Nothobranchius furzeri: one gene and its partner. The protein of the gene in region 1 purifies or fractionates together with the protein of each later gene. This does not show direct contact. Links are inferred from orthologs where the notes say so. Each region holds a gene or a part of one and is shown on either strand. Other genes may lie near its edges.

What was found.
Region 2: the proteins of nuak2 (region 1) and ppp1r12a purify together in Homo sapiens (affinity purification with mass spectrometry; 3 studies listed by BioGRID and IntAct, counting the BioPlex papers as one, with this or other methods). This does not show direct contact. The link is inferred for Nothobranchius furzeri from reciprocal best matches to the Homo sapiens genes NUAK2 and PPP1R12A.

What each region holds. Positions count from the first base shown.
Region 1 is NC_091743.1:46,618,489-46,625,343, forward strand, and holds the start of nuak2 (NUAK family SNF1-like kinase 2), read left to right. Parts: upstream 1-2,635; 5' UTR 2,636-2,763; coding exon 2,764-3,042; intron 3,043-6,855. UniProt on the Homo sapiens protein: Stress-activated kinase involved in tolerance to glucose starvation. Induces cell-cell detachment by increasing F-actin conversion to G-actin. Expression is induced by CD95 or TNF-alpha, via NF-kappa-B.
Region 2 is NC_091741.1:40,774,616-40,780,914, reverse strand, and holds part of ppp1r12a (protein phosphatase 1 regulatory subunit 12A), read left to right. Parts: intron 1-33; coding exon 34-125; intron 126-198; coding exon 199-356; intron 357-455; coding exon 456-553; coding exon of another isoform or gene 554-583; intron 584-1,452; coding exon 1,453-1,560; intron 1,561-3,406; coding exon 3,407-3,631; intron 3,632-6,299. UniProt on the Homo sapiens protein: Key regulator of protein phosphatase 1C (PPP1C). Mediates binding to myosin. As part of the PPP1C complex, involved in dephosphorylation of PLK1. Capable of inhibiting HIF1AN-dependent suppression of HIF1A activity.

The DNA of each region.
Region 1 (6,855 bases):
TTTCAGATCATTTTCTTGAGCCAGTCTGAGCTAAAATAACCCTTTACAAGACCCCCCACCACCACCACCACCACCACACACACACACACACACACACTTTTTCCAAAGTCAGTTTTGTCTCCTGCACTTTTTAACCGTCCAAAAACAATATTACGCTATATTAAATAGACATTGGTTGCACTAGGACCAAGTGGAAAACAACGTCTTGTGTTGAAGCCTGTTTCCCTTTAGAACTGTCCATAAACTCATCTATTGGCTCTGCAGATACTTGCTAAATTTTGATTGGCCGTTCCTGCCACCTGGGTACTTGACAGTTCTGCATTTCTGACATTGCATAAAAGAGCCTCTAGGCTGTAGTTTTACACATATTTTTTGTGTACTTACTGTAAAGATCCCCCCCGGTCCTCATGCCGGTTGCGCCCCCCCCCCCCCCCCCCCACCCAAGTCAAAAATGTGTCTGTGGTTATGCCCCTTTTGCAGCCTTGATGCGCACTTCACTTAATTGGTATTACCCACAATCCATTGCTGTGGGAGAAAAGACCCAAGAGCCTCTTTTGAAAATATGTATTTTCAAATGAATGTCGTTCATTGACAATTAACTGATGCTATGAATGTTTTAGACAAAGCAGGAGTGAATGTAAATGTATTTCAAATAATTGTTAGGTTTGTATGAAAGTTTATATGAAGTTTTTTTAAATTAGCACAGCGCAATATGAGTATTGGGATTGCGTCTTGGCAGAAAAAATTGGAGCCAACATATCTGGCACTGCAGTCTGGTTCCAGCATGTTTCCTGCATGTTTTAAATCTTGAACACAGCTGATTTGTTTAATTTAGTGATGAACCACCTCTGTAGACACTGATGAAAGCTGGGGAGACATTTCAGCTGTTAGATTAAGGTGTTAAAAAGACTAACTAAAAGCAAGGATTTAGGTTTTGCTTTCGGTTCTAATGGGGGGGGGGGGGGGGGGGGGGCTAAAAAGCAAGCCATGACTGCCTAGCCTCCCTTTAAATACAGAATAAATTTTATCACTTGAAATTTATAATTGTCAGAATTACAAAAGGTCACAGCAGGAAAGAGGAAAAACAAGCACAATGTTTTGATTTGAAATTTGTTGAAATTGTAGAACCAGTAGTGACCCGATTCCAAACAACGTACAGATGCAGAAAAATAAAAATATACTGAAACTTAGAATGAAGAGAAACAGGAAAATAATTATTTTCAGCATTCAGTCTAAATATGACAAATAGCAAACAGGCTAATATTAGTAAATGTGTTATGAATTAGAAAATCTGCGCATTTGAACAATTAACACATCTGCACTGAACTCATGCTGCTGCTAAATAATTCACAAAAAAGTCAGTTGCTATCAGCAGAAATCTGCGTTAAAAGGTTTCCTCTTTGTGAGTTTAGTTCTTTGTTTTCCAGGATTTTACAGTGTCCTGCATGAGTTACCAATCACTGCTTTATAGTGCTCATATGCAAGACTCGTCTCTGAAACGGGTCTGATCGCATGCTGTGACTGAGCACTTTGCCTGTCTGAGACTCAGCCGTCAAAAACCTTTTCTGAGATGTGGATCCTCTACCAGATAATAAATAACCATGGTGGTATGAGTAATACTATTGATCCTGGTTAAATCAGGCTCCCTTTCTGTTTCGGCCATCTAACATTTCATTAAATGTAGTAATGCAGTAAACATACGTAAACAAAGTCTCTGTCCGATGGGTTAGGGGGTCAATCGGGAATGATGTGTGAAAGAGCTTTTTAAAGCATCCTATCAGAAGGAGACTGTCTGACATCCATTAACCTGGTCTGAGCTGTTTTTCATGCTTCGTTTATTTTATGTACTATGAAATAGAATAGGATGAATAGAAGATGAAACACTGAAAATGCTTTAACTGATTATATTATAAATGAGTTGTTTTGTCTTGGTTTCATTGAACAGGTCTAAATCAGATCAATTAACCCAAATTCAAACATAAGGTGGCTTTTGCTGACCTCTAGTGGCTGAATCTGGACATATTCATATAGGATGACTAGCTACATAAACTAATACACACAACACATTCATTTTGCTATACTAAATGTTCATTAATACACAATGTCCCTCTTAAGCTGTTAAAAATGAAAATAAAGAAGAAAAATGCAAAAATTAAAGTTCCATTTCTGATTTGTACATCATTCTCAAGTTACTACAAAATAAAACGATTAATTTGTTTCCTAACCAGAATGGACACTTAGGGGCATACACATTTCTTCTAAATGCTTTCTCACCTATGTTGTGTTTCATCTGCACTCACAGCAGACTTGTAGTACAAACTGTCATTGTTGTTAGAAGAAAAAGATTACTATCTTGACACACTTTGACAAAGGTGCATTTGAAACGTGTTCAATTAAATGTGAAACTTCGTTGATTTGTCTGCCCCAAACCTTTTTCAGGAAGTACAAGGATAAGTAACATATTCAGCTCAGATCTTACTGGTTGAAGTGAGATGTGCGCTCCCGCGAAAAACAATGTCTCCGGCGCGCGACCTGAAACTCCTCCTCTGTCTGGCAGGGGGCGGGGCTTCCCTCAGTCTCCGCCCGCACGCAGAGTACCTGCAGCCCGGCTCCTCTTGCTGGCCTTAATCTTCATGTCCTCCTCACAATTTAGTCGTAGCAAGTCACTTTAATCAGGCCGGGCTGGGCGGACTCTGTCGTGATAAATGACACCCAACCGAACCTGGCGATTTTAAAATAATCAAGGTAGCTCCGGACTCAGGAATGTTGTTTACAAGCGACACCTGCTGCGACCAAAAGCACAACGAAAGTAGAGACAGTAGCGCTGTCTGCGTCGGCATGGACGGCTGGAGTCTCCCGTCTGCCGGAGGAGTTTCAGACCCTCCTTGTGGGGGATCTCCGTCCCAGGTGCCCTTGAGGAAGCATGCGGTGAAGAGGCACCACCACAAACACAACCTGAAGCACAGGTACGAGTTTCTGGAGACTCTGGGGAAAGGAACCTACGGCAAGGTGAAGAAGGCCAGGGAGAGATCCGGGAGGCTGGTAAGATACAGCTGATATTATTATTATTATTATTATTATTATTAGAAGTAGTAGTATTTCATCGTGACGACAGGTCAGCAGTCCGTTTCACGCGAGTGTTTGTGCCGCCGCTCCTCCTTGCCACCTGTTGTTTAGACCTGCGGGATTATTTTTAGTCCATCAGGTCTGTTGCCTTTTTAATCTGCGGTTTCACTTCAGTGAGAGTCATCACGTGTCGCTGGAATGTAAAAAAGATCTAAAAACAGGCTTTCTGATACGCAAGTTTATTTTAACATCATGCGTTGATAGCCCAGTCCTTTTTAATCACTAGACGCACTGAATAGCATCACATCTAAAATAATCTGAGCATTGTATTCCCACCACCTTTATCAGAGTTAAGATAAGAAGTCAAAGGAGGTTCCAATAAATGTCTTCTAGTTGTGCGATAATAGCACAAATGAGCTCCTGTGCCTGAGGAAAAATATGTGAAACTTATCAGAAAGTTGTGTTGGAATAACTGAAACTGATTTCTTCTGGGGGAAGTTCAAACCAGGAAATGTAGTCATTTTCTTTCAAAGTTTCAGAAACAAAAGTGGGAATTAAGGCTGGCCTTCCGGGTGAATTCCTGTTCCCTTTGACCCAAGGGGGAATGTGAAGCATTCATAGTAGAAAAATGTCTGAGATAAGCCCCTAAAAGGCACATAAAGGAGGTTAGACAACTTAAGACATGTGTTTTTGAAGATTATGTCCCTAAACATTGTCTGACCTTCAAGTATTTAAAAAATGTGTTTGAAGTTACACTCTTAACGCTTAGACTGGGTTGAAGATTAGAAATATTTCAGCAGAATTTACAACAATTTTAAAGAAATTAAAACTACGATTTAAAAGTGACTTTAAAATCACCTTCAATAAACTAAACCCCTCAAACTTGCCTTTTACATTTTGTGCACATTTCAAGAAATTTCACACAATTTATAATTTGCATTTAAAATTTTCCAACAGTGTGATAATAAAAAAAAATAACCCAAAGGAAACTAAAAGTACAGGCAAAGCAGAAACAAAGTCGCTCAGAGTTAAACCAGGTCAGTTACTAAAAATAAAACCCAAGTAGTTTTGTGTTGCTTATCAGATGTTTATGCTGTTTAAAAGATAAACGTCTGACGTGAGCGAAAGTGCTTCAACTCAAGGAAGTGAGTGAATTATCAGGAATTTCCCTGCCAGCATTGGCCGAAAACATGCAGGGGTACGAGTCCAGTCTTGTCCACACACCCTTCAGAGGAAACAACTGTCTGGGATTTAGATTTGGTTTCACCCTAAACTAATATCATTTATCAGAGAAATCAGCCTCTGCAGTGAGATAATCTGTAATCCGACTCAACACAGAAGTGCGCTCCATCCTGCATTATTCTCCACAGCTATTGTCTGAGTTCATATGTTTGATTGCATAACCCATTTAGGTTGGGGGCTATGCATGCATCCATGAGGGTGTTGATCCGCCACTCACTGCATAACAGTAACGCTGTTTGTGCATTCATGCACCCCCAATTAGCTACAGTCCGTCCATCCATCTTCTGAACCCGCTTTGTCCACATGGGGTCGCCGGGGGGGGGGCTATCTCCAGCAGTCGACAGGCAATCAGGCGGGGTACACCCTGGACAGAGAGCCAGTCCATCGCAGGGCAACACAGAGACACACAGGACAAACAATCATGCACGCACACACTCACACCCAAGGACAGTTCAGACAGACCAATCAACCTAACAGTCATGTTTTTGGTCTGTGGGAGGAAGCCGGAGTACCCGGAGAGAACCCACGCATGCACAGGGAGAACATGCAAACTCCATGCAGAAAGTTCCCAGGCCGGGAAGCGAACCCAAGACCAGCTCTAACCACTGCGCCACTGCGCAGCCCAATTAACTACAGTGAGGAACAAAAGTCTTTGAACACCCTGCGAATTTGCAAGTTCTCCCACAAAATCATGGAGGGGTCTGAAATTCACATTGTAAGTGCATCCCCACTGGGAGAGACAGCTTTTAAAAAAATCGGGAAATGACATTGGGTGATTTTTAAATCATGTATTTGTATTGCACTGCTGCACATAAGTATTTGAACACCTGGGAATCATCAATAATTCTGGCTCTCAAAGACCTGTCACTCTGCCTTTTAAAGAGTCCACCTCTACTCCACTTATTCGTCTAAGTTAGTAGCACCTGTCTGAGCTCCACCCCACTTGTCCACCCCACAGTCAGTCACACTCCAACTACTACCATGGCCAAGACCACAGAGCTGTAAAAAGACACCAGAGACAAACTTGTGGACCTTCACCAGGCTGAAAAGGAGTGCTGGGCAATTGAAACTAGATCAACTGTTGGAGCGATTGCTAGAAAATGGAATAGGCTAAAGACGACTGTCAGTCTTCCTCGGATGGGGGGCCCATGCAAGATCTCACCTGGTAGGGTATCTTTGATAAGAACGGTGAGGAGTCAGCTCAGAACTACACAGGAGGAGCTGGTCCATGACATGAAGAGAGCTGGGTCCACAGTTTCAAAGTTCACTGTTGGTAGAACACAACACCATCATGCATTACACGGGAGGTTTCCCTGCTCAAGTCATCACATGTCCAGGCCCGTCTGAAGTTTGCCAATGACCCTCTGGATGATTCAGAGGAGGCATGGGAGAAAGTCATGTGGTTCAGTGAGACCAAAATAGAACTTTTTGGTCTAAACTCAACTCTCCGTGTTTAGAGGAAAAAGAAGGATGTGTTGCGTCACAAGAACCCTACAGTGAAGCATGAGGGTGGAAAAATCATGCTTTGGGGGTGCCTTTCTGCCAAGAGAATGGGATGACTGCACTGCATTAAGCTGGGATCACACTGTGCGTATTTCAGCCATCACACAGGACTGCTCATGTCCCACTGTGAGAACTCCAGAAAGGTAGCAAGCACACTGTACGGCGCAAGATTTCTGTTAGCCAGAGCACACAGCGTCTCGTTCCAGCACGACACGCTACGTCATGAGCGCGCCCCGATAGCATATGTCACTAAGACTGCTAACCAAAACAAAGCGGAAAAGATTTTTTAAAAGGCCGTCGTCAACACTTCTTTTTAGAGTCAGCTCATCTACCTCAAAGACGAAGGATCATTTTTAAAACCTTTGCTTTGGCCTCAGACTCCGTCTGCAAGTCTCCTTTTCCCGTCTTCCAGCTAAACAGCAGAGCTGTCTGCTGGACATGCGCCACTTCTCATCCCCTAAAACCCACTAAACTACAGAGAAGTAACAATCCATCACACATCGCCCCAATATCTAAACTTCTGCTGTGAATTTACTCCTCATGCAGCTCCACTCCATGACAGCTCATCACACCTGGTGCTGCCACTCGGCAACAAAACGCTACTGAAAAATCCTTATCGGTTGAATGTGTGAGATTTCCACCATCAGCAAAGGGATCGCGTGTTTTTGTGTTTTACTTTTTATGCTGGTGAAGGTTCTCAGTCATCCAGGTCACGGTAATCCAAAGGGTTCAAATGAAGGCAACTGGACTTCTTCTTTTGGTTTCTTGAAAACGTTTCGGTTTTCACAAGTTATCTGATGGTCTAAAAAAGGTAGTTTCATTATTTTAAGCATAACTCTGGTTTACCTTGAGCAATTAACAAAAATGAAAATCTTTGTGTAGTTAATAATCTGCATTTTAAGCATAAATTGAAACCGAAGCTCAGAGAGGCAAAATCTTGCTGCTGCGGCGTCCCAAAGGTGTGTTTTCATTGGTCGGTTGCAGACAGGAGTTGTAGGTTTTCAAGCAGTGCTTGTAGACTGTTGGAGGCTGTCTTTGGTCCTG
Region 2 (6,299 bases), on another chromosome or scaffold:
TTCTGAACGTTGTGCTGTTTTAATTCATTTCAGCTGACGATTGAGAAGAAAGACGTTAAGAAGTCTCCTCTGATTGAAACGACCACCATGGGCGACAACAACCAGTCACTGAAACCACTCAAGAGGTAAATGGTTTTATTCACAAACTATCCAAACTGTTTCCCTTTTTAAATTGTTCTACGGTTATTTATGATCCAGCAAAGAGACTCTGCTCCTGGAGCCGGAAAAGACTGCTCTACGCATCGAGACGCTGGAACCAGAGAAAGTGGATGAGGAGGAGGAGGGGAAGAAGGATGAATCGAGCTGCTCGAGCGAAGAGGAGGAGGAAGAGGATTCAGAGTCTGAGACGGAAGCTGGTGCTCCTTTTTTCTTTTCTCACCACAGAGCTTCAGTAAAAACCATAGAAAACCGTTTGGGACCTTTTCTTAACCCTCTAATTGTTTTAAACCCTCCAGAAAAAAGCAAACCGGCCCCAGCGGTGAGCAGCAGCTCGACACCCACCCCCACCACCGTCAGCGTCACCGTTTCATCTCCAACTAGCCCTACTAACCAGGTGACAACTCCTACTTCACCGGTTAAAAAGGTACAACTAACCGAACGACCGTTTTAGTTTTCTTTGGACAGAATTTATGTAAATTTAGTCTTAAAAGACCTTCCTGAACATTCAAAAGTGCAGCAAAACCTCGGTGTGACTCGCTACGTTGAGTTCAAACTGTCCTTCGTGTCTTTTGAACTTGATCTACTCCTGGAAAGCGGCACAATTTCTCTTGCTGACTGGGTTTGCATCACTTAAATTCTAACCCACATTGATTTCAGCAGATTTTTTTTTACTTCTCTCTAAAAGACGATGGAAATAAAGTTGTGGAGTTCTAGATTAGGATGAATATTTAGGTATTGGGAGCGCATAGCTTTCTTTTGGGGCTTTGCTGCCCTCTGGTGGCAAGCTGAAGCAAAAGCCATTAAACCACAGTGAGAATGGGGCCTCTCTTTAAGAGAAAGCTCTTTTTATTTTGTTCCGCTGGCTGCAAATATTAGCTAATATGTGTGACTAATGCAAACAACCTGAAAATGTTTTGGAAAGTCATAAACGTCTAGTTTATAAAAGCAGAATGCTCTGGCTAGTTTAGCTCTGGCAGCTTTAACGGGTCCTTTACTCTTTTTGATGATGCTTTTTTTCCTGCAACAAAGCGTATTTAAAGCCAGGTGCTCACAATCCACATCTCTGAATAGAAGTGAGCGTAACAAACAGATGTGTTCCAGCGGCGGCCCTGGTTTGGTCCCTTGTGGCGTGACCTGGCTTTGAATTTCCTGTCCTTGCACACAAAGTCTGTTTCTTTTGCTTCTGCTTCTGTCTTATTCTGTCTTTTTTTTTTTTTTTTGTCATCCTTTGTCTTCCTCCCTCTCCGTGTTTTTTACTTTTTCATCCCGGGCGCTTGTCTTGGTTGGCTTTAGTTTGATTATATTACTCCTCTCATGCCTTTGGCGGAGCCAGGCTGTCCTTCGCTGTGGCGTCAAGGTTTGCGCAAAACTGGCATTTCTCTTGTGCCCAAAAAGCTGATGGTGAGGCTCTGGTGTGCACCAGCGTTGTTGTCTCGTCCTACATGCACTCATGCTCTCACAAAGCACTAAAACGTCTCCTAACCACGCCCACCTGGTCCAGGTGATGTAGGGTTTTTTCCACTCGATGGGGTCGGCCTGCCTTTAGAGCGTTGCGCAGCACTGAACTCTGGCGTCCTGCTTCAGAAGCAGGACTGCTTTAGCCGAGGCTGAACACTCAGAAATCAGCTCGAATCTGCATTATTTCTATTTTTCTACAAGATTTTTTTTAAATGAAATGAATAGCATCTCGTTCTCTGAACCTTAATGAAAAGGTGGAGCTGCATTTAGTCAGTTATTGTGAGACCACCCTAGTGGAAAAGTCCCAACAACCGACCCGCCCTTCACTCACAAACATCACATGGTGCTGTTTTCACTTTTCAATGCACTGCTAATATTTTCGTGTGTGTGTGTGTGTGTGTTTCTACAGTTTAAATTGTCCCTGTGAATCATGGTGGTGGTGATGAGTCTGGTCTTAAGGCTGAACGATCTGTTGTTTTCTGATTGAAATTACGATTTCAAACGATCAGATCAGAGTTTTTCAGCACTCCCGACAGACCCAGGATCTGTTAGGTTAACTGTTTTACACACCCAGGGTTTTCCCTCGGTCGCAGCGAGAGCCGACGAGGTGTTGTGTGTTGTGAGAGCCTGCCGCAGCAGCACATGGGTACATTTGGATGTTGTTCCTGTGTTTTTCCTTTTCGTGGCGCTGCTGCAAACAACAACAATCATTGCTGTGATCATCTTGTGGACCCAATCTGCTCCTGACTCCGTCTCTTGTTCGTGTGTGTGTGTGTGTGTGTGTGTGTGTAGGGATGCACCGATAAGATACTGGTACCTGTATCGGCACCGATACTGATACCAATACCAGTATCGGTGAAAGTTAACAGATACCAGTGCAGTTGCTTGAAAATGGCTTCACTGTAACTTGTCGTTTCTGTTCACCTAATATTTTAGTTTTGTGATGATTTCCATTCATATATTTTACTTTTTGTCTACCTCTGTCTTTTCCTGTTGAAAGCAGAGAAGAAAATTAAATCTGTATTCCAAATCATTGCATTTTTTTGTGTGGTAGAAGTATCGATATTGGTAATCGGTATCGGCGAGTACTCAGATCCAAGTATCTGTATCGTATCAGTCTGGAAAAAAGTGGTATCGTTGCATCCGTGTGTCCGTGTGTGTGTGTGTGTGTGTGTGTGCGTGCGTGCGTGCGTGCGTGAGGGAGGGAGGGAGGGAGGGAGGGAGGGACAAAAAGGATGAATCACCAGCATCCTCAAACAGCAGAAAAGCGTTTACCATGATGACATCAAGCGGACTTTAAAGCACAACTTCTTCTTTTTCAAAACCCATCTGATCCTGCCTGATGGCTCAAACTGTTGCAGAGTTAAAGAAAATCAAAGTTGGCATTAAAATATGTCGGCACCTTTAGCTTTCGCCCTTGCTTTAGTGATTGAACCTGTCATTTTTGATGGTATGATGTCATTTCCTGTATTGAATGTAAACACGGTGAACAATAGGCTAGAGCTTTGTTTTAAGGAAATCGTGAACCAAACTGAAAAAGCAATTTCTGCCAGAAAAGTCCCAGTTCGTAAAATCGTTCAGCCCTAGGGGTCGCATGAGTTCAAGCCCCGACTGAGTGAACTGCTGATCATAACCGTGTAATACTTTCCCCTCAACTGCAGCTCCTTTTAAATTAACCTGACAGCGTCTGACCTGATTGGTGGTTGTGTTTCTTAACAAGATGACTAAAATTCTCACAATCGAATAGTGAGTGAGTTTTCATCATTGCTGCCCCTATGCTCCATCCCAGGTCCCCCAGCCTGCTGGAAAGGTTTCAACAAAAGTGGAGGAGGAGAAGAAGGACGAGTCTCCGGCCTCGTGGCGTTTGGGTTTGAGAAAGACGGGCAGCTACGGGGCGCTCTCCGAGATCACGGCCACTAAGGACACCCAGAGGGAGAAGGAAACCACGGGTGTGATGCGCTCAGCGTCGAGCCCTCGGCTCACCATATCCCTGGACAACAAAGAGAAAGAGAAGGTCAGCTGTTACAGTCAGGTGGGACATCGACACAATGCTAACATTTTTGGCTCTATACACCACCACAATGGATATCAAATGAAACGAACAAGATGTGCTTTAACTGCAGACGGTCAGCTTTTATTTGAGGGTATTTACATCCAAGTCAGGTGAACGGTGTAGGAATTACAACAGTTAGCATAAGTGCCTCCCACGTGTTAAGAGACCAAAAGTAATGGGACAGAAGAAGAACGCTAGCTAGCACATGTCCTAATTGATGATATCTCCACCATTTTTCAAGATAAAACGATGAGACTCTAGACCCTTAGAAAGTATGATCGGTAAGCCCTATCTACCAAATTTTGTTTGGATTCACCAATAGGGGGCGCTAAAGAGTCAAACAGTTTCAAAACGGCTCGATGGATTTCCACAGAACTTGGCAGATACGTTTATCATTGGACCCTTACGCTATATTTCGAAAATGATTAAAAAGTGGGCGTGGCTTATAGGCTATAAATAGGCTTTACAAGTTTTCGCCCTTTTACTCATGAAAAATATATATTCTGTACAGAAAGTTACAAATCAAATCAGTCATAGTGACATCTACAATCACAGAAAAAAAATTGAATTTTGTCCAGTAGATGGCGCTGTTGTACCCCAAAAATGTTTATGGCATGTTTCTCCCCATTACTTTCGTAAAAAAACAAATGGTCTCATCCAGTATGTTCATTGAGTCAGTCAAATTTAGATGAGTATTTTAAAAAATGTTTTAAACTTATGCAAATTAGTAGAAATTTGCATAGTAAGTCAAACGTACTTTCGTTAACTCCTCCCGGCCGTCAAACACAATCAAATCAAAACATGGCCTGACGAGAGAGGAGGAGCGGCTGAGCAAACGATGAGAGCGGATTTTGGAGAATTCGCCTATTTTTCGAAATATGACTTTTTAAAATATTTTTTTGGAATGAAAAAGTTTTTTTAGCATAACTTCAAAAGATTTTGACATTTTTCACAGCTGTTCATAACATTCATACCTAAGGTCAATTCAAGTGCATGTCTTGATTTTCAACTTGATTCAACAATAGGGGGCGCTATAAATAGGAAGAAATTATACTGCTGAACCGGCTAAATGGATCTGCATGAAACTTAGTGGTTGTCATCATTAGAGTCTTACGACTACTTTATCAATATTGTAATGATTGATAAAAGTAGGCGTGGTTTATGATAATTTAAAATTTCACATTTGAAAAATTTTCTAAAAATAATTATTTGCATGTAAGAGGCTAAAATTTTCAGGTTGCGTTAACTGGGTAGCCTTGAGCTTATGTCACGAAAATCGCAGCTCCACGAAGAGGTTTGCGCTTTATATTTACGAAAATACATTTTTAGGCTAGCAGTTGTAGCGCAAATTCTGTTATGACAATCTTCTAGAAATTTGGCACAAAGTTCACTCTTTGGTGGTTTATGAAACACGTAAAATGTTGTCTTGATTTGAGCACCCCCTTGTGTTTAATTATAGGACTTATTTTTGGTGACTGCCACTAATGCAAATATTATTTTATTGTAAGAAAAGTTTAACATTTATGATCCCTACAAAAGTATAAACAGAATTTCCACATGACAGAGGCAATCTGGGAATATTTTGAGATTTCTGTACAAAAGCATAGATTTTTTAAGAATTTTAACTTTTTGCCAGTTTTTCTGTATAGTTGGACAAAAAAGTAAATAATTTACGTTAGAAAGTTTTTTTAGGTATACAGTAAATATGAATCATTTATAACATTCCACATGCACCTATGGTGATCTGAGATTTTTCTACTATTTTTAGAAAGTAGCACTATTTTTTATGAATGTTTTAATTTTGGCTGTGACCCTTATTTATATTTAACAATTTTTCTTCATAAATGGTTTGAGTCTACTGATTTAAAAACAATATCATATTATTCCGCATGTTAACATTGCCATGTGAGAATATTTAGGTAATTTTATGATGATATATGTATTTTTCAGGATTTTTTAAACATTTGATCAGCAAGTCAAAAAATGAAAATCATAGTTTTTGTTGAAAATCTTATAGATCTAGAGACATTATCAAGTATTTGTTATTTGTAATATTCTGTTGACGTATAGATTATTGTTTGATAATCTTTAGATCAAATATGGATTTTATAATTAAGTTTTTGTTTCGGTCAGTTTAATTGTACATCTCAATATAATTGTTTTTTGAAAAAGCATTTCATTTACAATCAATAAAATGACAAAACCTGATTTCTCATCACTTCACTCATTAAATCTTCACGTTCTTTAAAAAGGAAACGGTGGAATTTCATTATAATCACGACTGAGAAGTCAGCCATGCCTGTGAAAGATTTGTGTATAGGCTGTGCAAGAGGTTTCATGACAAATCCTGAGTGTTCCTTTCACTGCGCCGGCTGAAGTGAGCTGACGGGGCGCCGGCGGGAGAACGTGTTTTTGGAGCGGGACCGCGTGAGGAATGGCGAAGGTGAGGGCGGGGCTGGGTGGGGGGCTGGCGCTGGTTGGCTTGGAACCCGTAGATAACTGCTTGCAGTTCTAGTTCAGCTTGAGAATGCACCTGTTTTTAGTAGCTTCTATGTCAGTTTGATATGTTTGTTTTTACCATGTTTTTACTTTGTGATGAACTTTTGATCTTATTTTTAGAATTTTTAGG